Saccharomyces cerevisiae S288C: one gene and its partners. The protein of the gene in region 3 purifies or fractionates together with the protein of the main gene of each other region. This does not show direct contact. Each region holds a gene or a part of one and is shown on either strand. Other genes may lie near its edges.

Evidence for each region.
Region 1: the proteins of UTP4 (region 3) and PWP2 purify together in Saccharomyces cerevisiae (affinity purification with mass spectrometry; 7 studies listed by BioGRID). This does not show direct contact.
Region 2: the proteins of UTP4 (region 3) and NAN1 purify together in Saccharomyces cerevisiae (affinity purification with mass spectrometry; 7 studies listed by BioGRID). This does not show direct contact.
Region 4: the proteins of UTP4 (region 3) and UTP21 purify together in Saccharomyces cerevisiae (affinity purification with mass spectrometry; 5 studies listed by BioGRID). This does not show direct contact.

What each region holds. Positions count from the first base shown.
Region 1 is NC_001135.5:217,642-225,949, forward strand, and holds PWP2 (snoRNA-binding rRNA-processing protein PWP2), read right to left. Parts: upstream 5,588-8,308; coding exon 2,816-5,587; downstream 1-2,815. Other genes in the region: threonine synthase THR4, read left to right, coding at 1-600; CTR86 (Ctr86p), read right to left, coding at 735-2,426; YIH1 (Yih1p), read right to left, coding at 5,813-6,589; TAH1 (Tah1p), read left to right, coding at 6,758-7,093; TVS1 (Tvs1p), read left to right, coding at 7,922-8,308. UniProt on the Saccharomyces cerevisiae protein: Required for bud-site selection and cell separation. Also involved in nucleolar processing of pre-18S ribosomal RNA.
Region 2 is NC_001148.4:306,720-315,211, reverse strand, and holds NAN1 (Nan1p), read right to left. Parts: upstream 5,003-8,492; coding exon 2,312-5,002; downstream 1-2,311. Other genes in the region: karyopherin KAP120, read right to left, coding at 1-1,824; HHO1 (histone H1), read left to right, coding at 5,608-6,384; TBF1 (Tbf1p), read left to right, coding at 6,991-8,492. UniProt on the Saccharomyces cerevisiae protein: Involved in nucleolar processing of pre-18S ribosomal RNA. Required for optimal pre-ribosomal RNA transcription by RNA polymerase I together with a subset of U3 proteins required for transcription (t-UTPs).
Region 3 is NC_001136.10:1,112,396-1,120,314, reverse strand, and holds UTP4 (small subunit rRNA maturation protein UTP4), read left to right. Parts: upstream 1-3,551; coding exon 3,552-5,882; downstream 5,883-7,919. Other genes in the region: condensin subunit YCG1, read right to left, coding at 82-3,189; PEP7 (phosphatidylinositol-3-phosphate binding protein), read left to right, coding at 6,288-7,835. UniProt on the Saccharomyces cerevisiae protein: Involved in nucleolar processing of pre-18S ribosomal RNA. Required for optimal pre-ribosomal RNA transcription by RNA polymerase I together with a subset of U3 proteins required for transcription (t-UTPs).
Region 4 is NC_001144.5:932,511-940,900, forward strand, and holds UTP21 (rRNA-processing protein UTP21), read right to left. Parts: upstream 4,724-8,390; coding exon 1,904-4,723; downstream 1-1,903. Other genes in the region: GAG1 (Gag1p), read left to right, coding at 457-1,143; BLS1 (Bls1p), read right to left, coding at 1,375-1,743; inositol polyphosphate kinase VIP1, read left to right, coding at 5,031-8,390. UniProt on the Saccharomyces cerevisiae protein: Involved in nucleolar processing of pre-18S ribosomal RNA and ribosome assembly.

The DNA of each region.
Region 1 (8,308 bases), on a different chromosome or scaffold from region 3:
CTATACGAAAGATCAGACAAGGTTGCTGCTACTTTATCCCCAGCAATGGATATCTTAATCTCTTCTAACTTTGAAAGACTACTATGGTACCTAGCTCGTGAATACCTAGCTAATGGTGATGATTTGAAAGCCGGTGAAATCGTCAACAATTGGTTCCAGGAATTGAAGACCAACGGTAAGTTCCAAGTTGACAAATCCATCATTGAAGGCGCATCAAAGGACTTTACATCAGAAAGAGTTTCCAATGAAGAAACATCTGAAACAATCAAGAAGATCTACGAATCATCTGTAAATCCAAAACATTACATCTTAGATCCTCACACAGCTGTCGGTGTTTGCGCCACAGAAAGATTGATTGCAAAAGATAATGACAAGTCCATCCAATACATTTCTCTATCTACCGCTCACCCAGCTAAATTTGCCGATGCTGTAAACAATGCATTGTCTGGATTTTCCAATTATTCATTTGAAAAGGATGTTTTGCCTGAGGAATTGAAGAAACTATCCACATTAAAGAAGAAATTAAAATTCATCGAAAGAGCTGACGTTGAATTGGTCAAAAACGCTATTGAAGAAGAACTTGCTAAAATGAAATTATAAGATCTTCCTTTTTAATGAATATATTTTATCTTATATAACATATAGAATTCTATAATTAATAGAGAGTATGAAGTACGATTATCCTTAATGTTAATCAAAGTGAATCATGATTGCGAGAGTAAGGAACCATAAAATTAATCTTCATCTATGCTAATAATCTCAGAATTCTCGTTCCCAGGGTCTTCTTCTTTAGATACTAATCTAACTTTCCCGCCCTTTTCAACTGATATTTCAAACCCAGCTTTGCTCAATGCATCGTCTTGAACAACGTCTTGAGCTTCCATTTTTTTGACATATTCCTGATTCTTGGCATTATTCTTTAACAAAAACTTCAAGCAAACAATAGATCTTTCCTTGATAAACGGATCATTATCATCGATGACACAATTGGAAAGAATTAATGCAAGACCACCTAATTCTCTTATTTGATCTTGGATTTCAGGATGTGCATACACTAACGATGCCAATATTTCGATTATTACTAATTTACAATGGGGAAAATTATCAGCCCTAATAAAGGATTCGTTGGTATTAACACGGTTGAAAATTAATAACCGGTCCTCGATTTTGTTACCTTCATGATCTGTGATTTTAATTTCATTCACCGTATCACCGTTTCCTTTCAAAAAATTAATCCTCAACAAATTCTTTTGGAAAGTATCCAAGAGAGATACCAATATTTTCACAGAGTCATACGAAATTAAGAATTTTCTAACATGATTGAATTTGCACAAGTCAGAAATTATGTCCAGGCAAGAAAGTAAAGTGGAGTGTAATTGGATGGCAACTGAAGGAGCATAATCGTTACAACTTTTATTGAAAAAGGCAGGAATATCCTTGCATGCAAGACGTTGCAGAATGGGGTAGCACCATGACATAATTGCAGTCAACTCATAGGTATTCCAATCTTCTTTACTCGTTACAACCAATTGCAATATCTGCAACAAAGTGGTGAATTTTCCTGGCTGTCTTTCTTCTAACCCATTGAGGTATTTACCAAAAGAAGCAGTTGTAAGACTTTTGCTAATACATTCTAAGACAGATAGGTCAATAGAAGTTATTTCCAATTTTGAATCATCCAGATAGTTTCTGCCCTTCTCAATTAAAAAGGAATTCTCTTGATCCTGGATGAATTTGGCTGTCACTATATCGAAAAATATTCTATCCCTAACACAATAATAGTCTTTCTGGGGTGTATCATTATCCCTGAAAAATTCGTTGGAAAATTCATCATTGTTGAGATACGTCTTGAAAAGAAATAAATATGGTAGCCAGAAATGCTCTTCTTCTTCACCGTCTTCCAATTTGATCCCATAAGGGTATTGAAGAAATTGTAAAAGAGCTGGAAAAGTAGTCATATCCACTGTAGAGTAGTTCTGCTGTATATTGAAAAGGCACGTTAAACATGCGATGTATAGATGTTTGATTAGCGGAGTGTCAACGACATACTCACTAGTTGCATGCAGAAAACCACGAATTACGAGGTTTTGTAGTAAAAGCTTTTGGGGTATTTCCTGGTTTTCAGCGGCAAGGTTTCTCATCATTAAGATAAGGCCCCTCACTGTTCTTGTATACGGTATTGAGCTATTCTCATTTAACGACGCTGGCAACAGCATTGCTTCCAAGGTGTCTCTTAATCGTTCCCAAAAAAGCTGGGAGTTAGCCATTGATTTCCTATGTTCTTCATCATTAAACGTCCTTTGAAATATACGGTTCAGGTTTTCGACGATTGGCTCATAATCCTCGACGCAACATGGGTCGTTCTTCATCATGGTAATGATTGAATCAAATAAATTGAATTCATCTAGAAAATTGTTCATAGGCATTGTTATTTAGTTATCTTCTTTTTTGATGAATCAATAATTTTATAAGGCTTAGTGTAATTGTTCTCCCGATGATAGTATGAAACGGTAGTCGATAAATTTGTGTCAAATTTTTTCCTCATCCCATCAATTCTTCATTTTTTCCCTTCCTATTTTTTTTTTTACTGAAGCGATGATGCCTTATATATAAGGAAAATAGCCTCGTCAGTCAAAGGACGACTCCCGTAATGGTAGCCTCAGTTTATATTAGGCGCTCTCATCATGATGTATATCGATATTGGCGATGATATTTTTTTTTGTTGATATTAAATACAAATGTAATGCTTTATATAGTTCTATACTTGGGGAATACATGATGTGAATGTGCATAAATAGAGGACAGTGAATATTTTTCAAGGAAGCTCTTTCTCATTTTCTTCTTCATCACTGGAATCATTTTCATTAGACAAGGGTAATTTGTTATCCTTCCCATTGAAACCAATCCATCCTTCCTCGTCGTCAGATTCCATGACTACATCGTTCTCTTCGTTCTCTTCGTTATCTTCATCTGCGTCATCTTTTAATAGAACCTCGTCATCATCAGCCGCGCCATCTTCCATGGACCCATCAGTTGATACCAAAAATCTATAGGTGTATTTGTTATCAGTAGTGGTATTGACTACTTCCTTAGCCACTCTAACAATAAATCTTTGTATCGACCTCATAGCCGTCGAGAAGAGATATTTGTGTTCATTTATGTAACCACCGCTCGCAGATAATAGAGCTTTGATCCAAATTAGGTTAAACTCAATGTGTTGGGATTCAATGGCAAAATCACCGATGAACTTCAGAATCCTCGGTAAATATATTGCAGGAATATTACTTGCAACCAAGGGGATTTCCTTAATAGGTATGGCTTCATAGACTTTATTGATCAAATATTCTTCATTTAACCTGAACGCCATTACTAATGCATTTAAAAACTGCTTTTCTCGTAGCGCCTCTACAGTAGAATGGGGGGTGACGTCCACATCCAGATCAAAGGGATCAAATAATATCGTGTCATTGGTGGAATATATCAATAAACCTTCCGTTGAAGCAGCGGCAAATGCATTCGCCGTTGGGGAGAATTGCACCGAAGTAACTCTAACCTCTGGTCTCATTTTTCTTGTGGACAGGTCGCCACCTCTTTGAGACCCTGGTAAAGAATTATCAATACGATCCTCCAAATCTGAATTTTCGCCTGCATCGTCAATCAAATCTAATGAACCTGCTTCAGTCATTTTCTTACTGTTTAAAAATTCGAGAGTACCATTCAAAGCCATGTTTCTGGACACAATGAATCTTTTTAACAAGACTTCATTTGGAACATCATATAGACAAATGGAGTTATTATTACCACCAGCCACAATAGCCATACCATCAAAACTGTAATGTATTGTAGTAAAAAATTTGGATCGTTCAGAATTTTTGGCAGTGAACCTATCTTGATTAAACCTACCAGATATTATATCCTTTCTACAGTCAATGTTGCCCACCTGCTTGGCATCTTCTATGTTGAAAATGGATATTTGACCCTTTAAGGTAGATACTGCAACTTCTTTACCATCTGGTCTCATTGATAAGGCTAAAACATCGGAATAAACTTCTATAGGTTCTACTTGTTGGCTTCTACCAAATATGGACCAGATTCTAATTGTTTTATCCCATGATGCAGAAGCTAAGACACTGTTCTCTTGACTAAATGAAAGACACGAAACAGGGCCTTCATGTCCGGACAAAGCATCTAATAATTGACCAGTTTGCACGGACCAAACATGAATGTCAAAATTGTCCAGGGACCCGGCACAAACCACTTCACCTGATGGATCCACCGCTAAACAATTGAATTGGATTCTTTCAGTACCAGTGAATGTTCTAAAATTACGATACCTGATTAAGTCCCACGCTCTCACCGTACCATCTAACGATGATGAGAACATGACCTGACCCCTTTTCGCAAACTGTACAGCAGTAACTGAAGAGGTGTGTTCTTCAAAAGTGGCCAAACAAAACCCTGATGTAATGTCCCAAACTTTGATTTTCCCATCTTCGGATGCTGTCACTACACGTGAACCATCCGGAGAGTATGCAAGACTATTTGTGGAATCGAAATGGCCCTGCTGCTTCAAGATATACGATTCCGATTGCCATTCGTAAACTAGTAATTGGCCCAGTTTGCTGGAACCAAACGCCAGCCATTCGCCGGTTTGGTTGACGCTAACGGTGTTGACTGGGTTTTGCCCCATAGAAAGCTGTTGAATCAAAGTGAAATCAGGCAAATCGTAAAGACGGAATTCCCCACTAGTAAATCCGACAGCTAAAAGCCTTGTTGCTGGATGGAAGGTGACACACTTTACTTTGGCTTGGTTTGCGTAAAAAAAATGTTTCTTTGTGATTCTCCAGCTGTATTTCGAAATATCTACTTCTTCTTGCTTGTCGTCGTCTTCACTTTCATTGTCGTCGTCATCGGATGGCCTCTTGGTAAATTCCCAGACAAAGACAGCACCGTCTTTGCTTACAGTGTAGATTTTTTCCTGATCATGACTGAAGAACGCACCCATAACGTAGTCTCTGTGCCCATTAAATGTTGTCGCCGCAAGGTTCTTTTCCTCTGAATCTACGGACCATATTTTTGCGCTTAAGTCTTTGGAAGTCGTAAGGATAAATCTGGAATCTTGTGACCACGTCAAAGACGTTATGTCTTGAAAGTGTCCCGCATGCACCCTATGGCGGACGAAGGGAGCAAACTGTCTGTCTTTATTAACATCTGGAGTCTTCCAAATCTGTAAAAACCTGCCTGAGGCTAATGCAAAGAGTCTCCCATCAGGGCTGAACTTCACAGCGGAGCATTTTTCTTTGAAGTTGAAATGGTGAAGCACGTTACGGGCTTTGAAATTGACAAGGATGGCGCGACCGTCCTCGTCAATAGAAATCAGCAATGTGCCTTGTTTGTTCAGATCAATGGCAGCAATATTTTTGCGATGCTCGTATTCAAACGTGAACGATTTGTTGTTGATTAAGTCAAACACGCTGACCCTATTCCCCACCGGTGAGAGTAGTTGCTTGCCATCATCGGAAAAGGTGATGTTACCTTGCCTGTAGACCGTACCTAAAAGGTTAGAGAACTTGAAATCGGATTTCATTGGGATGCGGTTCAATCTGCGGTCTGCTCTCCTGTCTACCTGTTGAAAACGATACTATTATTACTATTATTGATATTATACTAGTTATTGTACATACCTAGAACTATACTCGAAACTTTTTTTTTTTTCATCTTTCAGCTCATCGCAAAATTTTTCCAAAAAATTTCAAAAAGAACTCCCGTCGCATGTGATCAAGGTTACAGGTGCTTGACATAATCATAATGATTACGAGTCGAAGCCGGCCCTGACAACAGCTTCTCTTGCCGTAGAATTGATGTGTTTAAACCGGTCGGGACCTATGTGGGCACCGCCGAACCAACGGGCCACCACAACGATGACGTTCCACACATCCATGATGGTGATGAGGTGCAGCATTCTGGAGCCGGCGGCCGTTTCACCGTCATCATCGGAATCTTGATATGTTGCCGCAGAGCCATCCTGCTTGATTCGCCATGCACTCATGACATGGTTTGCCTTACGCATCTTGGAGTCGGTCTTCAGTAGGTCTAGCATGGCAAACGCTTGTTCCTCGGAGGTAACATGTGCTGCAAAGGCCATGAAAGTCGAGCCTCTATCAGTAATGGGGTCCGACGCGGTCCAGCCCTCGAAGGGGTCTGTGGGAATGTCACTCTGCTGGACCGGTTCTGTCTCCTCCTCTGGTTCAACGTACAAGACACCGTCGAGTTCTGTGAGGAAGTCAAATAGACAGACAGATCCGCGGTGGAAAACAGAGTCCATCACTTCCTGGAACAAATGCTGAAGGTACTTGGTATCGTAGAGATCGCGCTTAGCCAAAGAAGTGCAGACACCAACTTCGATGACATTAGGAGCCTCCTCGGAGGGGTAGTGTGTCGGGAAGGAGATCTGCAGTGTCATGTATTCATGCTGCGGCACTTTCACAACGATGATGCTTCCGTCTTCCTGCTTCTTGGAGAGAAGATCCGGATAGATGGCCTCGACGGCCTCCAGTTCTTCGACCAACTGTTCGTGATCGTCATCCATTGAGCTTTTCTTTCCTCTCTCTTTTTTTTTTCTTGTTACATATTCCTATATATATGTATATATATCTATATATATATATATCCCAGCGTATATGACTGCACAAGACGCAATTTTCTTGAACGGTTTTTTCTTTTCAGCACTGCGAAAGAGAGAGCAACGGTAAAGAGCATGAGCCAATTTGAAAAGCAGAAGGAACAGGGCAATTCTTTGTTCAAACAGGGCCTGTATCGCGAGGCTGTGCACTGTTATGACCAACTAATTACTGCTCAACCGCAGAACCCGGTCGGGTACAGCAACAAAGCCATGGCGCTGATCAAACTGGGTGAATATACACAGGCTATTCAAATGTGCCAGCAAGGACTGCGGTACACCTCAACGGCAGAGCATGTAGCTATCAGATCCAAATTGCAATATCGTCTAGAGCTGGCACAGGGAGCGGTAGGTTCAGTACAGATCCCTGTTGTAGAGGTTGATGAACTACCGGAGGGATACGACCGGTCCTGAGAAAAGAGAAAGGGAACACTTCTAATTTATCTTTAAAATTATATATATATATATATATATATGTGTGTTTGTATACTCTGTGGGTATTTCCGTGTATATGGTTAATAATAGTAGTATCTTGTCAGTTTTTTTTATGTTTTTCTTCGCGCGTCAACTTTCTACCAAGAGAAAAACAATATAAGGTCTCCTTACTCTATAGGAGAATAAAACAAACAAAAATAAAAAGCACATCGTAGCGCCAAGAAAATACTGCAAATACCAAATACCACAATAATACTACAATTATCTATACACAAGTGTTTTGCCGCTTAAAACTTCGATTTTCATAGTACGAAACTATACACCCTTGGTTTTTCTCTTTTCTAAATACATATCTACCTTGTAAAGAATTTCCCGCACATCTTTGCGGGCATACAGTTCATGTATTGGCAACTAACGGAACTAAGGCAACATATCTTGCATATTGCAATGTTCACTATATAGATGAAAACTTATATCTAGGTTTCACGACACGAGAATAACTAAGAAGCACGATCCATGATATAGAAAAATCAGTTACGACGAAGCACGGCAAATTAGCCGCCGAAGACCGATATTTTTGCCACCGGTCACAGTTTTCTTTTCCACGGAGCTCTTCGCGGTTTTTTTGTTCCGGATTTTTTTTACCGGCTCTTAGCGGACCGTTTTGGTTATAAGGGGAGTGGCAGCGGCGGTAGACACTGCGCTCTATAAGAATACTTGCAAGGGTCTTGTCTATTGTATAATTCGCTAGTATTTGTTTTGCATTGTACTCTTAATACCCCAACCAAAAACAAAATAGTGAGAGTAATGGTGCGTTTTGTTTCAATTTTAAGTTTATTCGGCTGCGCGGCGACGCTTGTCACGGCCCATGATGACATGGACATGGACATGGATATGGACATGGATATGGACATGAATATCGATACGACAACGTCTCAATCCATAGATGTCTCATCCACGGCTTCAATCGTCCCCGTGCCACATGAACCAAAACATTTGCATGGCCTTCCTATACTGCAATCGCCCTCGCTTACCCCTGCGGAGAGATTGTACTGGGAAAACTACAACACCACAACCTACTTTACTACACAGGCTGGGAATAGGTCTGCCCTTCGCTACCACATTATTACGCTGCTCTTGGTTGCATTTGTGCTCTACCCTGTGTCCCTGGCGCTAAGCGCCGCCCGTTCTAGG
Region 2 (8,492 bases), on a different chromosome or scaffold from region 3:
TTGAATTATGATATCGCTCAAGGTGTTTAAAACATATAGCCTTGTCTCGGTTAACGACACAGATGGTAAAATTTTCCTCAACAATAAATGAACATTTTCAGTTAAAAATGGCTGAAAAGTATCCTTGTTGAAGTTCCAGTCATCAACCATGGTTCTGACAGTCTGGACTGTGGTTAACAAAACAACTTTGTCGTCTTCATCTGTCAGGAAGTTTGTAAATAACTTGTAACATAAACTTTTAGATTCTTCCGAACACTTCACAGTAGACCATTCGTTTATAATTAAAGCAACTCTTCTTCTGATAATCCTTAATTCGTCGCCTGATATGTTTGTATTTGTAGCTTCTGGTAAAAAAACCTGAATTAGTAACCTGTCAAAATCTACCATTTCACTAACAGCGGATGCACTTAATTGGAAACTTGCATAAATTGCGTCTTTCCTTAAAAAATCGTCTAATGAGTTTGATAGCTTTGAAGCATCATTTTCAATTTTCTTTAACAGGTAGGGAACCAACAGCTCAGAGAAAGTATTCATTAAGTCTTGAAAAACGTTCTCTGCACATGGTCTGATTTGATATTCGTAACTCGTGGCCATTTGTTCGTTTATCCATTCTTCTGGATCCATAAACCAATTTTCTAATTCAGTTGGTCTTAACCTCAAGTACCATTCCATTAAAGTGTCAACCAACCTTGTTATCAAATTCTCATTCAGAAATTCTGTGTTGATTTTGTTGATAGAAGCATCTATGGTTAGTTTATCACTTCTTGCTTTTAACGTAATTGCCCCCTTTTTGTGAATGAAATTAATGACCCTTTTCAAAATTAAAAGCCCTCTAATAGCAGTCTGTTCCCAAAAGTCCCCCGTGACATCAGAATTCTCTCTATATACTTTAGGGGCCTTATCGAAAATTAGCCTAGTATAAGTGATTAGAATTTGCGTAGAGCATGGCAGTAATATGAAATTAGCCGGAGAGCCAGTGACTAAATTGAAATATAACTTTCCTAGGCATTTGATAAACTTTTCGTAAATATCAAACTTTTTGAAGTTTTCATGGTTTGAAATTAACATCTCAAAGTGTGAAACGGATAGTTTAATAAAATCGCAAACAGACTGATCGGTTTGAGGGCGGTCGTATCCTTCACAAATTATCCTTCTGAGCACTTTCAAAGCTAGGTAAGAAACTTGTAAACTGGAAAGATCCTCGTAGTTGAGATTGGAGGATGTCGTCCATTCTTCAAATGATTGTAAATAAATCCTGACAATTAGTGGTAATATCAAAGGAACTTTACTTTGCATAGCGGGTCGGCACCTTCCTATTCTCGCAGTACCTAATACTTTAACGATTTGATTTATATGCATCAATATATTGTAAATCTTAACTGAATCTTTTCTGATGATCTCATCGTTCAATAGGTTTTCTAGATCCTCAAATAAGGTTGGCCACTCTACGGGAAAATCTAGCCTTGCAATCCTTGCGGAAGCTTGGGCATTCTGAATACAAAGTTGATTATTCTGTTCATCGATCATTTCAAAAAGACGACCTCTTATCGAGGCTTTTTCATCTTTAGGTATAGCGTTAATTCTAGTGGATCTCCAGTATTTATCCACGCCGTTCTTAAATTGAATTACCGCCAACCATCTAATTTGTAAAGAATTAGATAAATTAAGGTAGATTGACTGTAATAAGTAATGAAATCCCGCTTGAGTCTCCCATTGTCTTAGTTGTTGTTCGGCTAATTTTTGAACATCTGACCTAATATGTTGTGGGTTACTTGCTTGTTCAAGTACTTGAACCAAGTTTAACTCGTTAAGAGACGAGGCCATTTTTGTTTAACGCCTTTTAAAATTTGATTCGGTTGACAGTTGAGGCAAGCTAAAAAGTTAATAGTTTATGGTGCCTCCTTTTTCTTAAACACAACACCTACCAAGAAGTTTGACAAATATTAAGCTACCCAATTGTTTGAAACTTCAATCTTCTTACATGGAAATGTACGCTATAGAAGTGTAATTCAAAAAAAAAGAGGCGGCTTATTTGGAGAGATTATTTTATTCATCTTGACTGAGGATGCTCATCAAACAAAAATCGTATGAAGAGATTTTTTGTATATTATGATAGTTCTATTAACATTAATGATTGTGAAGCTTTTTACGAAGTGTCTGTTCCTATTAACCAATGCATTCTCTTCCCTTCCCTTGTAACTAAGTTATACAGATATTTTTGCTTTCGGTTTGCTTTATAAACATATATATATATATATATATATATATACCTTTATATCTATTTTGGATATCCAATGGAAGAACCCTAAAGCTATGTTAATACTTTCATCACACGATCAAAAAATGTATCCATTTGCACGTTTTGAATGTTGTCAAACATGCTCGTAAAACTATTCATATTGACTAGCTTATCTTTCTTTTCGCCATTTATAAATTCCAAAGCGATATCTTCTTCATCTTCGTCGTTATCATTGGTATTTTTATCTCTAGTGTCACTTTTTTTGCCCCTAGACGACAGTTTATGCAATTGTTCTGCAAAAATATCGCTATTGGATGCCGAAGTTGTGATGGTGTTACTTACCAGGCCATCCAATATTCCTTCGTTATTAACTTCATCAGATAGTTGAGTATTCACAGTGGTTCCGACAACACCTAGTGTTGATTCTATGTCCAAAAATATGAAATCAGTATCATAATTCCAACCAATCCAAGATATGTATTCATGATGCGTAAAATTACCCAATTTTGTAGATAAGTCAGAATCGAATATAATAATACGGGATTTGTAATTGATAGTTGGTACGCCATCGAGATCAGTTAGTTGTTGATTTATAACCAGGGCAATGTTGCCTGTCCTTTCGTCACAAGTAATAAGCCTATCCATGTGACCATTTTTATACACTCCGTTAACAAACGGATATAAGTCAAAACTATTTATGACTTGACCCCGCAATAAGTTGATGGCGTTTAATGTAGTCCTGGTGGCCACTATTAAATTTGTGTCATTAATCAACTTGACGGTTTGGATTTCAGAGTCTAACGTGAACTCACTGACCGTCTTTGTATTTTCCAATGATTCAAACTTTTTAAAAGTGTCGAAATCTAAAATTTGCAACTTGTCATCGAAACCATGGAATATTAGAGACCCGTCTTGAGACCAAGCTAAAGAAACGGAGTTACTGAAATGATTAAAGTTTGGTAAAGAAATTTTTTTCAAGCACCAGTTGCTCTCATGAGAGTCGAAGGACCAAAATTTCAGTCCACCGTTGTTGTCAGCCGTTAAACAGCCTTGACTATTATTAACTGATCTTGGTGAAGGCAATATCTTGGTAATTGGGACACTTATCCCGTGTGGATTTATTACTTTCGTTTTCAAATTCCAATTTGTCTCATTATCGTTTTTGGTCCAAAATTTCAAGATATGAGTTAAGTCCTTGGAAGATAAGAGGTCATTTGGCGGATACTCAATTTCGTATGTAATCATCCATTGCCCATCTTTGGTGAACTTCAAATCAGTTATTATTGGGTCTTGTAAATTCAGTTCAAATCTAACTTTACCCATAGAATTGTTGACACCTGATGTTAAATACTGATAGTTAACTTGCTCATTTTTATAGAAGTCAAAAATTTGAACAGCAGAAATGTGTGGGAAATACAAGTTCTTGTTAATAGGGTTTATTTCTACATTAGTGGTGAAATCTTGTCTTCTCGATTTAATTAGTTTTCTAGATTGTTTCTTCTTAGAGTGATTGAGAGAGGTAATTGAGTTGGAGTTCTTGGTATTCATGGCCGAGATTGGTTGCTGAATGTGTTTTATGGTGCTATTGAACACCGGTAATGGCCCGTTAATCGACAATTTGGAGGTCAAATCAGAAGCATTCAAAAGTAAAAATTGGTAGTCAGAATTTGAATTGTTTTCAGTCATTTGTAGGATTAAAGAGTAGTAGTTCCCTTGAGGTCCCAATACCTGACAGTCGATTATAATACCGTTCAAACGAGGCAGGAATTGTTGAGAGTTTGTTTCCAATTGCCATAAACTCATAACTTTTTCCCAACCACCAGATAGCAAATAGGATCCATCGTGAGAGAATGAGAGTGACAGCACAGAGTCTATATGCCATTTGAGCAGTCTTATTTGTAGATCGGCCAGGCTTACGATACTTATAACTCCGGAGGCAAATCCAACAGCCAGTTGTTGACCCATATTGTCTATGGCCATGCTAGAAACGTACCTTGTGTTATAGGATAGGGATTGAGTCTGTGAAGAAAGGATGGAACCGAGGGGAAAGCTTAAATTTACAGAATCATCAAAAAGCGAAACAACTGAGATGGATTTGTGTTCGTGATCTTTTGTTGAGACGTCTTTGCACATATGCGCTAGCAGTTTACCATTGGAAGAAATATTTGACAAGATAACGTTGTGCCATTCTGCCTGATGAGCCACTTCAAATTGCTTTTTAGCATCGTCAAAGGTTAATGCATATAACCTGTACGATTGCAAAGAGTTATGTGCCTTTTGACTAGGGTCCTTGAACGTTGTCAAAATTCTATAGTTGCCCTCGCTATGGAAAACATTTGCAAGCTTTTCATCTGCCAAAGAGATTTTGAAATGCTTAGGGGACTCGACCAGCTTCCCCTTATAATTTAAAACAATTACATGACCATTATTGGTGAATACGGTAATCAGATGAGCGTCTTCTTGTTGCGGAACGGTTATATCACCCAGCAGAATCTTTACAATCGATTCATTATTCTCTTCTTCTTGCAGAAATATTCCGGATAACAAGGAGTTATTTGCAAACTTTAGAGTCTTAACACATTGTCTAGTTTCCACAGAATACACCTTGATCTGATTGTTAAAGGGTATAATATAGTTTCGTTGGTCTTGTGATAGGCGGGCGATATTCTTATTGCCGGTTACTGAACTGAGATTATTCAAAGCGGGTTTCCCACCAGATACGACTGACAGTTTATACTGTTCGATACCTAGGGATTGCGTCATTCTGGTGATCAGCTAAAATGGTTCTGGTTTGTACTTGTAGTTCCTGTGACGACAGCCAATATAACTGATATGTAAACTGTGCCAAAAATCATTTGTTCGAAAAATTTCATCTCATCTCATCGCTAGGAAAAAGAAAGGAAAATTTTTTTCTAGTTTCTCCTTCTCACATTTTACATCACTTACCACGTACCCTAAGCAGTAGGCCGCCTTAACCCTGACGTGCTATTTTGTTACCCTACTGATGTGACCGCTAGATTTTGACATGCCAAGCAATACAAATCTCCAAGAAGTTGCTGTTTGCTTTGATGAAATGCTATTCTGTGTCAAAAATGCCCCCTCCTAGGGACTTGCGTCTAGGTAAAAGCTATTCTGCACAATAACAGGTTTGATGGATGATTTTTGTTTGTTCTCTTTGGCTTTTCATTTTCGCGTCGCGTTTTCTGCTGTTGTTTGTTTTTTGTGTGGAAAAGCGGGCGGTCAAAGTTTTTTGTTTATCTGCCTTTATTTAAAGAGGAGGAGCAACTATAGATTTGGGGAGTTGTTATTTATGGGCACCTGATAATGCTTGGCAGCGAGGGAAGCAATTATAATACAACTAAAGCAACATGGCACCCAAGAAATCCACTACCAAGACCACAAGTAAGGGCAAGAAGCCTGCAACCAGCAAAGGCAAGGAGAAATCAACTTCCAAGGCCGCTATCAAGAAAACCACGGCAAAAAAGGAGGAAGCTTCCTCCAAGAGTTACAGGGAGTTGATCATTGAAGGGCTCACGGCTTTGAAGGAACGTAAGGGATCCAGTCGTCCGGCACTCAAGAAGTTTATCAAGGAAAACTACCCGATCGTCGGATCCGCAAGCAACTTTGATTTGTACTTCAACAATGCCATAAAGAAGGGTGTGGAGGCCGGCGATTTTGAACAGCCAAAGGGACCCGCTGGTGCTGTGAAACTGGCCAAGAAGAAATCTCCAGAAGTAAAGAAAGAAAAAGAGGTCAGTCCAAAACCCAAGCAAGCCGCCACTTCTGTGAGTGCAACCGCATCAAAAGCGAAAGCCGCATCCACGAAGCTAGCGCCAAAGAAAGTAGTGAAAAAAAAATCGCCTACTGTTACCGCCAAGAAGGCCTCTTCGCCTTCTTCATTGACCTACAAGGAAATGATCCTTAAAAGCATGCCTCAACTTAATGACGGTAAGGGCTCCAGCCGTATCGTTTTAAAGAAGTATGTCAAGGACACTTTCTCCTCCAAGTTGAAAACAAGCTCAAATTTTGACTATCTGTTCAATAGCGCTATCAAGAAATGTGTTGAAAACGGCGAGTTAGTGCAACCAAAGGGCCCCTCCGGCATTATTAAACTAAACAAGAAGAAGGTCAAACTCTCCACGTAAAAAGTGAATATCCAAACGAGAATGTCAATGGTGATAGCAATACTATCAAACCTATTTTCTTTCTTCATTTTTGTGTCCCATCACTATTAGTATTTTGTATTATTTCTAAATTTTTTTCTCTCTAATTTTCAATCTTATTCAAGTGTTTGTTGGCGGTACTGTAAATTTTCATTTTTTAATCTCTCCCTTCTCTATTTGTTACTTATTCGGTAAATATCTCCTTTATGATTTTATTCAAATTCCATTCTTAACTAACTAACTATACTGTTTATAAATTTCTCTTCTCTTATATATGCAAGGTACAGTGTGTAAAATTAATTATTGTATTTGAAGAAAAGGCTTTAAAATCTGAACATTTGAAGCCCTAATATTCTGCACCGTGCCCTATTAATTTTCGCCCCTTTCCGTAGAAGCCCGGCGAGACCTCATTCCGACTAATTTTCCTCAATGCTTTGCCCTTCCTTGTAAACATTATAATAAACAATCATCTCAATATTGGCGTTTTGCTCCTATATCCTTGCCAACATTTAAGATTGTGGCTGTCCCATCTGCGACAGAAATCATTTTACATTAGTTTTTCTTTACTCACTTCTTTCCCCATTTGTCATGGATTCGCAAGTGCCCAATAATAACGAAAGCTTAAACCGCTTCAATGACATCATCCAAAGCCTGCCTGCAAGAACTAGGTTGACCATATGCTCATTATGTCTGCTGGACAATATCTCCACTCAACTACTGAGGTTTCTTATCCTTAATGCCAACTCTCCCAATATTATAGCGGTTTTGACGGACCAGACGGCTTTCCTAAGCTCAGGCGAAACAGAAATTTTTCAAACGTTAGTCAAGCTCTTTAAGCAGATCAGAATGATTTACCACACCAGATCTCCGTTACTGTCTGTTCACGACGTGGCGCCTGGTTTATGGTTTCCCAACTCCCCTCCCCCCCTTATATTGAGAGGCCACGAAGCGTTTATTATTACTGCCATAAGAAAGGCGAATCTGCTAACATTTCTATTGACGTCGCTGAACTGCCTTAATTACGGGTTTGAGCTGCTACAGTCGATATTTCTCGATATTTTCTGTCCAAATACAAACACTGTCGGTAACAACTCCCTGGAACAAAGCGGAAAGTTTTTGAAATCGCAGGCTATCCTATATCTTGATCTGAAAACACAGGCTTACATTGCCGGCTTGAAAGAGTTTCAGGACGAGACGAACGAAATTTCTTTAGAAAAGAAACAAGAGCTACTAGACTTAATCTTCCCATCCAATCTGGCTGATATTCTCGTGCAGAGAAGAACCGGCGATTCTGGAGACATTACACTTTTGACTCCATCGGAGAAGGACTTCGTCGAAAGGTGCGATCGTCGGAGAGAAAATTTAAAGATCGTCCAAGATTTTAACTCTCTGACCCAGAGCTACGAATGGGCTCAATTTATCAGAGAGTTGCTGGATTATTGTAATAAAAATATGGGTCTCATCATATGGGGCAGAAAGGGTCGCGGAAAATCACCATTATATGACTTTGATGTCAACGAGTTTGATCCTCAAGTACTCTTTTCTACAGGGACCAGGACCGTAGAATTCATGGACGACCAAAATCAGCCAAGCAGTGCGTCTGCTTTTTTGTCAACTGCTCGTCCGAATCATTACAGCACACATACACCTACCACAGATGTGTCTTCCAAAAACCCCGCTATCACACAATCCATTGTGGATGCCGCTGTTGCGGCCTCGATGAGCAACAGCAGCTCTGGTCCTCATTCCTCTCATAACAACAGCAGTAACAGCAACAATAATGGTAGTATCGGATTAAGAAAACCAAAGGCGAAAAGAACTTGGTCCAAAGAGGAAGAAGAAGCATTAGTGGAAGGCCTGAAAGAGGTTGGCCCATCGTGGTCTAAGATTCTAGATTTATATGGTCCCGGTGGTAAAATCACGGAAAATTTGAAGAACAGGACGCAGGTACAACTGAAAGATAAAGCCCGTAATTGGAAATTACAATACTTGAAGAGTGGCAAACCATTGCCTGACTATTTGATAAAAGTGACCGGTAACTTGGAGAAAATCTACAAGGCAAAGAAAAAATTCTCTCAATCTCCAAATTC
Region 3 (7,919 bases):
TTAACAAACCTAAGAATAAAATACAAATATGTTTACAACCAAAAAATCAACTTAAATAGATGAAGAGCTCGCATATCAATTTTAACAGACCTCGCTGAAAGACTCTGAATCCTTATCTTCTTCATCTATGGACATTGCATCTGATTTCTCGTCAGGTAAAACAAAACTTACATTTTTTGCTACAGTTGACGTGTCTTGAATACTCATGTTTTCCAGGTTTTTGGATGTGTCAATTTGCTCCGCTTCTGATCTCGTTCTTTTCCTTGAGTTACTTTGCTCTGTTGTATTGTCAACTGCCGAAATATTAACAGTTGTTTTAGTCAATTCTGTGTTATTTCCATCAGTTATATCAGCAGCGTGTTCTATGGTGTCATTTGAAGATTTATTGAATGAATTCCCCAAAATAGACGAGTATTGGTCATTCGCAGTGTTGTTCTCATCTTTTGTCTGAGTTTCTGACCTTTCATTGATCTCTTCAATCAGCGAATTCAAATTATTCCTTAGCTTGTCCAGAGCATTTTTGCTAACATTGTCTAAATTATCATTTTCTGCAATATCGTCAGAATACTCAAGAAGTTCTTTCAAAGTAGAATAATCTTGTTCAGAAGAAAGAAATATAGCGTTTATATTAGTGATGATCATCTTCTTTATTTCTTTCTTCTCAATTTGAGCGTATATTTTGAGCACATCGATCAAGAATGTAAGCTGCACTGTATCTTTTTTTGTTGAACCTGTCTGGTTAACTAAGTTACGTGGATCAGTCCAAAATAGCAACTGTTGAAATATTATGTTAGGCTTTAGCATAGCTTCACGGTCTACCTCAGGTATTACAGAGCTCTGTAAATCGTCCCAAAGAACACATAGTCTTAAGAGTATGTCCGCAGCCGTCCTAGACATACGTTGTTGATGAGCAGGATGTGAAAAACAATAGACTGGAATGCAGAAGGCAAATGCCTGTACCAGCGCTTCGTTTGAGGAATTTATCGGCGAAAAATATGACAAAACCAACGTTTCAAACAAATCATCATCAGTGAACACGTCTGCCAAAAATAGTTTGCATAAACCCTCCGCTGCTATCACCTGACATTCCGGTAAACCGTTATTCTTTAAAACCTTGTAAAATATTTTGTGCAACGAGATTGAGTCAACTTTGCCTTCTCCGTCTACCACAGTGTTCCCATGTACGGAAAAAATATCTACAATGACTTGTAACGCAATATACTTTAATGATGCATTACCTTTCGAAACGCACATACCTAAGATGTACATGTTATCAATAGCCAACTTCACATCCAAGAGACAACATAAACCAAGGTTCTTGACACCAAGCTCCCTAATATTTGGCGCGGTATTTCTAACCGCTGGTGTGATCAAAGTGTCCATCAACGACGCAATTAAAATGTTTTCTGTTAACGGTGTGTTAACTAGTTCTAGCATATATGATGACCTTGTAAGACAGAGAACAATTGTTGCTGAGGACGCTTCCTTTTCGGGTGGGAGATTATTTATTATGTCACTCTCAGATACGTTGCCGTTTCCCTGCACTAAGTTTTCTACAGCAGAATGGAAGGATGAAATATTGTCGTCTTCTTCATCCTCGTTAACTTCGTCATTATGTGTGCCGTTTTCGTCCTCTTCATCGACGGAAGTCTCATTTCTGCGATTAATCTTCTTGCTTTTTATTTTCTCTTCTTGTTCTTGTTTTTCAATATCGTCGTCTCTAATATCATTAATGATTTCTATTGCCATTGTTACAAAATCTTTTTCATTTATGGACAGACTTTTCATTACACGAATACCAATTTTAATAAGAGGTTCGGAGAGTGTAGTTAAGGCCAGCATATTTCGTACCACTGTAAGCATCGATCTCCTTCCAACCTCATCGCTATAATCATACCTTTCGGCGGCAATCGATAGTTGCTCAATAATAAACTCTAAAGTGTTATAATCAAAATGCGACTGAGAGTCATTAGAAATGTCGTTGTGATGATATCTGAGAAGAATATAATGGTTTAAATGCTCGGATAATTTTGAGGCTTCTGGAAAGTTTTCTTCCAGCATTTCTGTTATATTATTATCCAAACAGTACAAATAAATAGCCCGAAAGAGGAAGGCAATTTCTACGGTAAAGTCTTTCCAAATACTTTCAGGAAATTTGATTTTAGATAATATATCTGGCCTTGATTGAAAAAGTGCTTCTATAGCCTTAACACACACTGAGGATCTTGAGACATCCAATTTTTCTAGTAATTCTATCAAATCGCCATCCAGAGCATTTAACCAATCATGAGCAATGAGTCTCTTACACGCATTTCTCACTGATAATTCCCTATCTTCTAAACCCCACTCAATCAATTGATCAAAAATATGCGGCTCAATATCATCGAAACACTTTCTTCCCATTGATTTCAAAATTCTCGAATACACGAGCCTTCTATTAACGATGTTTACATCTCTAGCCCTCTCCAAGATATACGGTCTAGTATTATTATCATTGATCAAATTCAGCATTGCAGCCCTCCGTACTTCAGCTGACGGATCGTTCTGGATAGAAGCAACTAGAGTTCTCGTAGCTTCAAAATTTTCTTCATTATCAGAAAGCTCAGTTAAATGTTCAGTTTGCTCTTCATCCTGAAATTTAGTTAAACAAAACACAGCCTGTATCCTAACCGTTGGTTCTCTATCATAAATCCTCTTATTTAAAGACAATATTAATAAATTGAAAAGTGATTCATCGATTTCCCCTATATTATCCATTATAACGGCTAATAACTGTAAAACTCTAAATCTGACGTTCTTGTCAGGGCTTTCCACACCACGCAAAACATGTCTTATGAACTGATCGACGAACCTTGAGAATATCCCTTCTTCATCATTCGTGAGCTTATAGTTTTGTTTTTTGGCCAATATCAACTCCCTTTCTAAAGAAGCTATAAATGCAGCTACTAACTTTACTATCCTGTCTCCGATAATCTCATTCTTTTTCAGAGGAAGGATCTTAGTAACTAATTTATCGAACCAAAAGTTAAAAGCATCTTCATAGCCTTGCTCAACAGCCTTTGACTGAATTTTCTTCAAAACTGCTATATGCTTCCTGTGTCCTGCATAAGAACCCTGTGCCTTTTGAAATACTTCAGCAACTGAGTTAAAGATTTTCGTATTAATGTCAATACCATCAGGATCTTGCATGATGGGCGCGGCCTGTTAACTTCTTTGTCTTATCCAAGGCTGTAGGCATTACTGAAGTGTTTTTGTTTGATCTTCAAAGAGCTAAAAAGGTAAACAAACACGAAGGCTCTACCCTTTCATATGCGGTGCACGGATTTTAAAAGTCGCAATAACTCAAGAATACGATAGATGCAATAAATCAGAGGTAAAGTGCTTTAGGCTAATACTATGAGCAATTCAGTATAACCTGCATTATCTCCTTGTTTTCCTTTGTATCCCCCATGATTTTTTTTTCTTGTTATTCCTCTTGATACCATATTAGGCAGGATTTTTTTCAAAAAACCAAATGAAAAATTTTCAGACTGACAAGAAAAAAGCTACGAATGAGCTCATCGCTACTTTCAGTTTTAAAAGAAAAGTCAAGAAGCCTGAAAATACGAAACAAACCGGTGAAGATGACCAGTCAGGAAAGGATGATAGTGCATAGATGCAGATTTGTGGATTTCACTCCTGCCACAATCACATCTCTAGCATTTTCACATAAATCAAATATAAATAAGTTAACTCCGTCCGATTTGAGATTAGCTATTGGTAGATCTAATGGTAACATAGAAATCTGGAATCCTAGAAACAATTGGTTTCAGGAAATGGTTATCGAAGGTGGCAAAGACAGATCAATTGAAGGCCTTTGCTGGAGCAACGTTAACGGCGAGTCTCTAAGGCTATTTTCTATTGGCGGCTCGACTGTGGTAACAGAATGGGATTTAGCAACAGGTTTACCATTAAGAAACTATGATTGCAATTCAGGTGTGATATGGTCTATTTCCATCAACGATTCACAAGACAAGCTGTCTGTGGGTTGCGATAATGGGACGGTGGTCCTCATAGATATCTCTGGCGGGCCTGGTGTCTTGGAACACGATACTATTTTGATGAGACAAGAAGCCAGAGTATTGACTTTGGCTTGGAAAAAGGATGACTTCGTGATTGGTGGTTGTTCTGATGGTAGAATAAGGATTTGGTCTGCACAAAAAAATGACGAAAACATGGGTCGTCTATTACACACTATGAAGGTCGACAAGGCCAAAAAAGAATCAACTCTAGTTTGGTCAGTTATATATTTACCAAGAACTGATCAGATTGCCTCTGGTGATTCTACAGGCTCCATTAAATTCTGGGATTTCCAGTTTGCCACGCTAAACCAGTCATTTAAGGCGCACGATGCAGACGTACTGTGTCTAACTACCGATACTGATAATAATTATGTTTTTAGTGCTGGTGTGGACAGAAAAATCTTTCAATTTTCTCAAAACACTAACAAATCTCAAAAGAACAACAGATGGGTAAATTCTTCTAATAGGTTGCTTCATGGAAACGACATTAGAGCAATATGTGCATACCAATCTAAAGGTGCAGATTTTCTAGTTTCAGGAGGTGTTGAAAAAACACTAGTCATCAACTCACTTACTTCTTTTTCTAATGGAAACTACAGGAAGATGCCAACTGTCGAACCTTATTCAAAGAATGTTTTAGTTAACAAAGAGCAACGCCTTGTTGTTTCATGGAGCGAATCTACTGTTAAGATATGGACAATGGGAACCGATTCTAGTACAGAACAGAATTATAAGCTAGTTTGCAAGTTAACTTTAAAAGATGACCAGAATATCTCAACTTGTTCTTTATCACCTGATGGACAAGTTTTAGTCGTAGGGAGGCCCTCTACCACTAAAGTTTTTCATTTACAGCCCGTAGGTAATAAATTGAAAGTGACTAAACTAGATAATGACCTATTATTGAGAACTTCCACAAAATTAGTCAAGTTCATCGATAATTCCAAAATTGTCATATGCTCTTGCGAAGATGATGTATTTATTGTGGATCTAGAATCTGAAGAAGATGAAAAACCGCAAGAAGTTGAACTTTTGGAGGTTACTTCAACTAAGAGCAGTATCAAAGTTCCCTATATTAACAGGATCAACCATTTGGAAGTAGACCAGAACATTGCAGTAATTTCTCGTGGCTGTGGAGTCGTAGACATATTAGACTTAAAAGCAAGGATTTCTAAACCACTTGCTCGTTTGAATAATTTCATCACCGCTGTTCATATCAATACTTCTAGAAAATCTGTAGTAGTAATTACTGCAGACAATAAGATTTATGAATTCAATATGAATTTGAATTCGGAAGCCGAGAATGAAGATAGCGAAAGCGTATTAACTCAATGGTCAAAAAACAATACGGATAACTTACCAAAAGAATGGAAGACATTAAAAGAGAACTGTGTAGGGATATTTTCAGACATAGAAAATAGTAGCAGATTATGGTTTTGGGGGGCTACTTGGATATCAAGAATAGACTTTGATGTTGACTTCCCTATAAATAAGAGAAGAAAACAGAAAAAACGTACACACGAAGGGCTAACTATCACAGATGAAAGTAATTTCATGAACGACGAGGAAGATGACGAAGATGACGATATTGATATGGAAATCAGCGAAAACTTGAATGTATTATTAAACCAAGGAAACAAAATAAAGTCCACAGATGTACAAAGAAACGAAGAAAGCTCCGGTCACTTCTTCTTTACTGATAAATATAAACCTTTACTGTTTGTTGACTTAATTTCTAGTAATGAATTGGCAATAATTGAAAGAAATCCATTAACTTTTCACTCCAAACAAAAGGCGTTTATTCAACCAAAGTTAGTGTTTTGATTAATTTAAGTCAACATACCGAAGAATAGAGAGATGCTATTAAAAGGCTATCATACTCTAAGGGCATTTTTCAGTTACAAAAAACTCTAATGGCGTTAGTACTTTATAGAAACTCGCTAATGTAAAATAGCCAAGCACATACGCAGACATATATATGTAGTAATCACGTATGCAGACATTAAATGTGAGCCATTTATTGGTATAAATGTATTCCTGAATTACAAAAGTACTGGCGATGGAATCACTCTGGCTATCACTGTTATTTCCAGGCAGGGTAATACTTTGGGAAAACAATAGAATAATGAAAACATATGATCAGTAGCTAAATTGACCGACCTAAAGAGCAAAGCCGGATCTCATGGTTTTTAAAGGGATATCACCGAATTTCCTGGCGACTTATCTATTATGGATCTTGAAAATGTTTCATGTCCCATTTGTCTAAGGAAGTTTGATAACTTACAAGCACTAAATGCACATTTAGATGTTGAGCATGGGTTTAACGATAATGAAGATTCACTCGGTTCCAATGACAGTCGTTTAGTCAATGGTAAACAAAAAAAGGCCAGATCTGTTGATAGCAGTGCGCAAAAGTTGAAAAGAAGCCATTGGGAAAAATTCAAAAAAGGGAAGAGCTGCTGTCACACATGTGGAAGGACTTTGAATAACAATATTGGCGCCATTAATTGTAGGAAATGTGGTAAACTGTATTGCAGAAGGCATCTTCCTAATATGATTAAACTTAATCTTTCCGCACAGTATGACCCCAGAAACGGGAAATGGTACAATTGCTGCCATGATTGTTTCGTCACAAAACCTGGCTATAACGATTATGGCGAAGTAATAGATTTAACACCAGAATTCTTTAAGGTACGAAATATAAAAAGAGAGGACAAAAACTTAAGGCTATTACAATTAGAAAATCGGTTTGTCCGTCTAGTTGATGGTCTGATTACACTCTATAACACATATTCTAGATCCATTATTCATAATTTGAAGATGAATAGTGAAATGTCCAAGTTAGAACGTACAGTTACTCCATGGAGAGATGATAGAAGTGTACTCTTTTGTAACATATGTTCCGAACCATTTGGGCTATTACTAAGGAAGCATCACTGCAGATTATGTGGTATGGTTGTTTGTGATGATGCAAACAGGAACTGCTCAAACGAAATAAGCATAGGTTATTTAATGTCTGCAGCGTCAGATCTGCCATTCGAATACAATATACAGAAGGATGATTTACTTCATATTCCTATATCCATAAGATTGTGCTCGCACTGTATCGATATGCTATTTATTGGCAGGAAATTTAACAAGGACGTTAGAATGCCGCTAAGTGGAATATTTGCTAAATATGATAGCATGCAAAATATATCCAAAGTAATTGATAGTCTCCTGCCCATTTTTGAAGACTCATTGAATAGCCTGAAGGTGGAGACTGCCAAGGATTCTGAAAATACACTTGATCCAAAGAATCTGAATGATCTCGCTCGATTAAGACATAAATTACTCAATTCTTTTAACTTGTATAATACACTAACAAGACAGCTCTTAAGTGTAGAACCTCAAAGTCATCTAGAGAGACAACTTCAAAATTCGATCAAGATAGCTTCCGCTGCATACATAAACGAAAAAATCCTACCGTTGAAGTCGCTTCCGGCAATTTTGAACCCAGAGGGCCATAAAACGAATGAAGATGGGCAAAAAGCTGAACCAGAGGTAAAGAAATTATCGCAACTAATGATCGAAAACTTGACCATAAAAGAAGTGAAAGAGCTGAGAGAAGAATTGATGGTCCTAAAGGAACAAAGCTACCTTATTGAGTCCACAATTCAGGACTATAAGAAGCAGCGTAGATTGGAGGAGATCGTCACACTTAATAAGAACTTAGAAGAATTGCACTCAAGAATACATACCGTTCAATCGAAGCTGGGTGACCATGGGTTTAATTAAGACATATCTTTATTATTCGATCATTCGCGGAATCTCCACGCTAATTGGTCCGCGGAGCCAATCAGATCTATTTAAGGGTATAAA
Region 4 (8,390 bases), on a different chromosome or scaffold from region 3:
TGGTTTTGTTTGGCTCAGCAAACGTGCAGCACCATGATCTTGGTAGATTTCTTCTTTACCCTCACCTTCCCCACACCATGTTTGCTTGCTACCCGTGTGTAATGCTATCAGCGCGCGTTTCTTTTTTTTTCTTGCTAACATTTTTCAACTTTAAAATGAAACGATGCATGAGTGATAGAGGCATTGAACTTTAGTAAACAATAGAAATAACCATCGGAGTTATTATTTTTTTCTGCTTATTCTTTGGTCGCAAAAAAGTGTGTTGTATAATTCTTTGGAATATTTATAAAAACAGGGAATACTCTAACAACAAACGCTAGTGCTTAGCTACTCTTCCGCTGGTACTTCAATATAGCTTGTCACATATTTTTGTCCATTAAGGTCGTTAAAACCCGAATAATTTTGTACGATCAGTTTAGTAAAAGAAATACAGTATTCAAAAGCTAACGGTTTATTATGACTGTTTCTACTTCCAAGACCCCAAAAAAGAATATTAAGTATACCTTAACACATACTTTACAAAAATGGAAAGAAACTTTAAAGAAAATTACCCACGAAACGTTGAGTAGTATCGATGACTCTAGTGGAAGCGATGAAAAAATAGAGGCTCTGTTTACTGTGTCTCAGCCTGCCGTCGTAGCCTCCAAGGGTATAGACAGAGATAGTGGTGCTTCTATGTCGCAGGTAGGAGGAGGTGTCAATAGTACATTGGAGATGAAGCTCACAGATGAGAGTGAGGAATCTAGCTCTGCTAATAACACGACCACAACCGCCTCGCATACTCTATCGAATTCGAAGAAGTCTACGCAGAACTTTGAAAACTATAACGTAGTGGAGGAACGCATAAAATTAGCACAGAAAAGTAAGGCGCCGTTTTGTAACGCTGAGAAAATCTGGAAACGAAGAAGACAACTCTGGACACAACCCACTGAGCAAAGTGAAAGCGCCAATAATGACGGAGTTACTCGAAGGGAGATTTTCCAAGCTATACCTCAGGAATATTATGCTCGAGTTTACAAGAAACTGGTGGTAGATGATAAGCCATTGAGAGAGCCTCTAAATCTGGAAGATGCTTTACAAGTCATAAATGCAGGCTGGACGGAAACGAGAAAGTGGGCTAATGCTGCCAAGGGCATGCCATGACTGAGTGTCGACGTCCTTTTTGTTTTGCCTTATAGCATCTTTTCCTTTCTTCAAATTTGCATTACACAACTTTAACTCAGTTAAAGAACTTCGTCATTTACTTATTCTTCTTTTTTTTCTTACCCTTCTTTCTCAAATCTTATTTCTGTATAAAATACGTATTGATTCATTCCATTAATAATAACATATAATAATAGTACTAATTTAAAAACATTGAATATATTTATCGTTTTATTTCGAGTTGCGATTCTTTTCTATCAGTTGGTACGTCATTTCAAGGATTCGGAGATCCCTATCCACAAGCTCTGCTTCCTTTTGTAATGCTTCGGTATGCCCCATATACGGAGTGTACTTTTCCAACATATAGTTAATAGGAGAAACACACTTATTTTTAAATGAGTCGTCATGAAGTCGCAATAACTTCTTCAACTGTACATTTAAAATATATGATTGATTATTTTCAATTTCTTGCAAAGTCTTCGAGGCTTCTGTTCTATGCGGAGAGTTGATTATTTTGTCGAGTAATCGGTCAAGTTCTTCAGACCTGTTTGGCATTTTTACGATTATCCAGTTCACACACATTGAGAATGTAAGGAACATTTATTTATTGTCGATCATTTATTAAATGTGGGAGGGACCCTTTAAGAACACTGCAACAAACCCAATAAATAATTCTTGGTTACCCTCTCAAAAAACATCATAGGAAAAAGAAAAATATACAATCTGCCTTTGTTACTAATATACTTGTTCTATATAATGCTCACGCGGTGGTCACAAAAGCTGCCACTCCCATGCAAAACTTCACAAGATCATCTAATCTGTCTTCCTTCTTATGTACATCCTCCCAATTTTGAAGAGCAGAGGCAATATCTTGATTCTTGTTGTTAGCATGAATAACATCACCGTGTGCCTTAAACAGTAAGCTCATAAACGTTTCATAAAGTTCGAAATTTTTATTGCTCTTCAACCCCTGTGTTAACGCGTCGATAAACCACACAATTTCATCAAATGGCTCAAAGGAATTCAATGATCTTATCTCCAAATCCACTGCAGCAGGTGAGAAATTTATTAGAGTGGCCAGCAATGATGAATAGTCCTTGGATTGTGAGCCCTCTCGTAATTGCTTTGTGAAATGTGATTCAAACCCTAATCTTCCTGTAACTTTGAATTTATTCATTTGCTCTTCTGCATCTAACTTCTTTTGTGCTTCTTGATCTCTGCGATGGATTTCTTCTGGTGTTTCATGTGCTATGCCTTCTCTGACAGAGGCTTCATCCCCAACCTTTTCCCCAGATAGTTGCAAGAAAAATGGAAGCTTTTCTGATTTCTTTGGAGCTTCCTTTGGCTTAGAACGTTTTCTGATAACATCTAAATGAAGCAATGTGTTCATTTTACTTCTAGGTCCTATTGATAAAGTCAACAGCTCCTTATCAATCTGTTCCAATGATGTATAAGTGTTGAAATCAATATCATTTAGGTCTTCTCCTCCATTGCTTTCTAAAGCCCCTGATAACATCGAGTCGTTCCCTCGAACAGATGTGCTAGGTAACGCCATTCTTGCAAATTCAGACTCATCGATGGTTCTTGTCGATACTGTCTTAAATTGTGCTCTGTTCGTCCAGATGCATATACCATTACCAGTAACATGGGTAGTGGCAAGCAAGTCACCATTCGGAGAAAACTTTACATTCGTAGCGACATTATCTACTATGATACCATCGATACATCCTCCGGTTGGAAGATCCCACGTTCTAATGGTGGAATCTAGAGAAGCGGAAACAATCCAACGGCCCTCAGGTGAGAAATCAAATGCAGTTATTCTATTACTATGACCCCATAATTGACGAACAACTCTTTGAGTAACTGCGTCAATAACAACAATTGATAAGTCGTCTAAAGCCAATGCAAATAGATCGGAAGAACGATGATAAACCATTGCGGTAATAGGTGCATCCAATTTCAATTTTCCCAACAAGGTTGACTTGTTAAAGTCATAAAAACCAACAATACCGTCTAGTCCACAAGAAACCATTTTACGATTCATACCATCTAAGGATATACCGGTGACTGCTCTTTTGTGCAATTTGTATTTTTTACGGAGTATACCACTTTGCATATTATAGATGGTGATAGAGCCGTTAGAAGAACCGATGAATCCAAAATTACCACATTGCGACATGGCCACAGATTTAACAAATCCATCATCAGTAGTATCAAAAGTCCACCTGCCAACTCTTTTATTTCGCATATCCCAGGTTCTTGCAAACTTTTCATCTTTATGTGCAGTGATAATGTTTTCCCATTCACCTATTCTGGCATTTTCAATTGCAAGAGCCACTATTTCAGGAAATTTAGACTTAATTGTACTACCACCTACCCTGCCGCCATCTTGTTTCTTGTGTAACCTTTGTGACATTTCTTGCGACTGTGCATCTTTACGCAGAGAAAAGCTCCATAATGATCTATCTTTGGATGCTGATAGCATGAAGTGTGATTGCGAATCAGCAAACGCAATGTATGAAGGTGGTTGAGAATGACCCCCTCTGGAACGTAGATATCTTGGCGGTTGAACAACTACATCACCGCTTCCTTGAGATAATGACGGATCGAAAACGTACTCCTTCAGGGAATTGTCACCACCTGATGTAACAATAATGGGTTGACCATTTAAAAAAGTAGCCTGAGTGACACCACCGTACGATTCTCTATGAATGTTCTTCAAAACGTGTATTCTTGAACGGCGATCTAAATCATAAAATATTAGATCACCACTGCTCGTTCCCACACTCAAATGAGAAGAACCGTCGGTTCTGAAACTCAATGAGGAGATTCTTGATTGCGGAATCTTAATTGTGCGGATCCTTTTACCTTTTCTCATATTAAACATAATAACCTCACCGGTCACGGTACCTAGAGCAATAATATCCAGGACTGGAGCGGGTTCAGCAGTTGTGATTTGGTCTGGAAATTCGTTTGATGTGAATACAAGCTTCCCGGTTCTGACGTTAAAAAGTAAAACGTTAGATTTGGTAACGACAGTTAATTTATTCAAATAAGTTGCCAAATGTTGTAAAGACACAATTTCGCCACCTTGAATTTCAGTAACGGTAAGTTTAGTGTAGAATTCTGATGGATATTTATCTTGCGGATCGGACTTCTTGTATATAAAGATGGAATTGTCGTCGGTGGAAGCGCAAAGATAATCTCCGAATATGCACAAATGTTCGACATTTGCATCAGTTTCTAGCTCAAGCAAATGTTCCTCAATACCCCTCTTGTAAATACCAACCTTGTTTTCATATGCTGCGTAGACGTAGTGAAAGTGTGCTGATAATGCTACAATTGAGGATGGTGTTTCTTTCTCGGAAACAAAAAGTAAATGTAAGGTATTCGCATCATATATCTGAAATGTTTTACCAACACACGTTACAATGTAAAAGGTAGATCCCAATGTACCAGTAGCAAAAGGAACACCATTGCTAACATTACCAATAATCCGGAAAGGGGAAAATATCTTAGAATTTTTCCCTCTACTTCTTACGTCTTCTTCGACTTTTCTTTTTTTCAAGTCGATAGACATAATGTACTATTCCTAACTCGCTATAGCCTTTTCAGTGTCTTATTCCTTGCTGCTGTTTCGCTGTATATTTATTGTGCTTAGGACTTATTAAATTTCATTAGCAATCTCATCGCGAAATTTTTCTCAAAATTTTTCAGTTAAAAAAAAAAAAGCACGTGCTCAAAAATGTTTTTAGAAAATCATTTATTTAAGATAGGAAAAATGCAATTAATCATTGAATCAATATGTTCACCACTTAAATTACCCACTGAGCATTTCATACAAATTCAAAAGCATCTCGTAGCATATTAATATATTGCAGAAGGTCATGAGTGGGATAAAGAAGGAACCGATTGAATCTGATGAGGTTCCTCAACAAGAGACAAAAAATAACTTACCTAGTGCACCTTCTGAGATGTCACCCCTTTTCCTAAACAAAAACACACAGAAGGCTATGCAATCTATTGCACCAATATTGGAGGGTTTCAGTCCTAAGACGTCAGCTAGCGAAAATATGTCTTTGAAATTGCCACCTCCCGGTATTCAAGATGATCACAGTGAAGAGAATCTCACCGTGCATGATACTCTGCAAAGAACCATAAGCACTGCACTAGGAAACGGAAACAACACCAATACAGTTACAACTTCCGGTTTAAAAAAGGCAGACAGTGAATCAAAGTCAGAAGCTGATCCTGAGGGGCTCAGCAATTCTAACATAGTCAATGATGCAGATAACATAAATTCCATCTCCAAGACCGGATCGCCCCATTTACCTCAAGGAACAATGGACGCTGAGCAGACTAACATGGGAACTAACTCTGTACCTACTTCATCAGCTTCTTCACGCAAATCCTCGACTAGTCATCCCAAACCTAGGCTACCCAAGGTAGGGAAGATTGGGGTATGTGCAATGGATGCAAAAGTCCTTTCAAAGCCAATGAGACACATTTTGAATCGTTTAATTGAACATGGTGAATTTGAAACTGTCATTTTTGGAGATAAGGTGATTCTAGATGAAAGAATAGAGAATTGGCCAACTTGCGACTTTTTGATATCTTTCTTTTCTTCAGGATTTCCCCTAGATAAAGCAATTAAATACGTCAAGTTACGCAAGCCTTTCATTATCAATGATTTAATAATGCAAAAGATTTTGTGGGACAGGAGATTATGTCTACAAGTATTAGAAGCCTACAACGTTCCAACACCTCCTAGACTGGAAATCAGTAGAGATGGTGGTCCCCGTGCCAACGAAGAATTAAGGGCAAAATTACGTGAGCATGGCGTAGAAGTTAAACCCGTTGAAGAACCGGAATGGAAAATGGTTGATGATGATACTTTAGAAGTTGATGGGAAAACCATGACTAAGCCCTTTGTTGAAAAGCCCGTTGATGGTGAAGACCACAACATTTATATATACTATCATTCTAAGAACGGAGGAGGCGGTCGTCGTCTATTCCGTAAAGTTGGTAACAAGTCTTCTGAGTTTGATCCTACTTTGGTTCATCCTCGTACGGAGGGGTCTTACATTTATGAGCAGTTTATGGATACCGATAATTTCGAAGATGTGAAGGCTTATACGATTGGTGAGAACTTTTGTCACGCTGAAACTAGGAAATCACCTGTGGTTGATGGTATAGTTAGAAGAAATACTCATGGTAAAGAAGTTAGATATATTACTGAGTTATCAGACGAAGAGAAAACCATTGCTGGGAAAGTTTCCAAAGCTTTTTCACAAATGATCTGTGGTTTCGATTTGCTTCGCGTTTCTGGTAAAAGTTACGTCATTGATGTTAACGGATTTTCTTTTGTAAAGGATAACAAAGCTTACTATGATTCATGCGCCAATATATTGAGAAGTACCTTCATTGAAGCCAAAAAGAAGATGGATATGGAAAAGAAGAATCTGCCCATTATTCGTGAAGAAAAGGAACAAAAGTGGGTATTCAAAGGACTGGCTATCATTATCCGTCACGCGGACAGAACACCAAAACAGAAATTCAAACATTCATTCACTTCGCCTATTTTTATATCGTTACTAAAAGGTCACAAAGAAGAAGTTGTCATTCGGAATGTAAATGATTTAAAGATTGTTCTTCAGGCCTTAAGAATTGCGTTAGATGAAAAAGCAGGAAATCCAGCTAAAATTAAAGTGTTAGCAAACGCTCTAGAAAAGAAACTGAATTTTCCCGGTACGAAAATACAATTGAAACCGGTTTTAAATAAAGAGAACGAAGTGGAAAAAGTTCAGTTTATTTTGAAATGGGGTGGTGAACCCACTCATTCTGCCAAATATCAGGCTACGGAACTCGGAGAGCAAATGAGACAAGATTTTGACCTATTGAATAAGAGCATTCTACAAAACATCAAGATATTTTCATCGTCTGAGAGACGTGTTCTTCATACGGCGCAGTACTGGACCAGAGCTCTTTTTGGGGCCGATGAATTAGGTAGCGATGAAATCAGTATTAGAAAGGATCTTTTAGATGACAGTAATGCCGCCAAAGATTTAATGGATAAGGTGAAAAAGAAGTTGAAGCCACTTTTAAGAGAGGGTAAGGAAGCTCCCCCACAATTTGCCTGGCCTTCAAAGATGCCGGAGCCATATTTAGTCATAAAGCGAGTGGTTGAATTGATGAATTACCATAAAAAAATTATGGATAACAACTTTGCTAAAAAGGATGTCAACTCGATGCAAACAAGATGGTGTACTTCTGAAGATCCTAGTTTGTTTAAGGAAAGGTGGGATAAACTTTTCAAAGAATTCAATAATGCTGAAAAAGTCGATCCTTCTAAAATTTCTGAATTGTATGATACTATGAAGTATGATGCTCTTCACAACAGGCAGTTCCTAGAGAACATATTTGACCCGGGTCTTCCAAATGAAGCTATCGCCGATGAACTCGGCAGTCATTCTTTAGTTGACCGATACCCAATTAACGTTCTCGCCAAAAATAATTTTAAGATAATAGACAGTCATAGCATGAACAATTCTGGAAAGAACAGTAGTAATAGTGTTGGGTCGTTAGGATGGGTTCTGGAAAGCGGAAAAACATCTACAGCAAGAAACCCCAAATCTTCTTCTCAATTCGATGAGCCACGCTTTATGCAGTTGCGGGAGCTGTATAAGCTGGCCAAAGTATTGTTTGATTTTATCTGCCCCAAAGAATATGGTATTTCAGATGCAGAGAAACTGGATATCGGTTTGTTAACTTCGTTGCCTTTGGCAAAGCAAATACTAAATGATATAGGAGACATGAAAAATAGAGAAACTCCAGCTTGTGTTGCGTACTTCACCAAAGAGTCCCATATTTACACTCTATTGAATATCATATACGAATCTGGTATTCCAATGAGAATCGCTAGAAATGCTTTACCAGAACTAGACTACTTGTCGCAGATCACTTTTGAACTTTATGAGAGTACGGATGCTTCTGGTCAAAAATCGCATTCCATTAGACTAAAAATGTCTCCTGGGTGTCATACTCAAGATCCGTTAGATGTTCAATTAGATGACAGGCATTATATTAGTTGTATTCCAAAGATTTCCCTGACGAAGCATTTGGATATGGACTATGTTCAACAGAAATTGAGAAACAAATTTACCAGGGTCATTATGCCTCCGAAATTTACACCAGTAAACATTACGAGCCCCAACTTGAGTTTCCAGAAACGCAAAACCAGAAGAAAG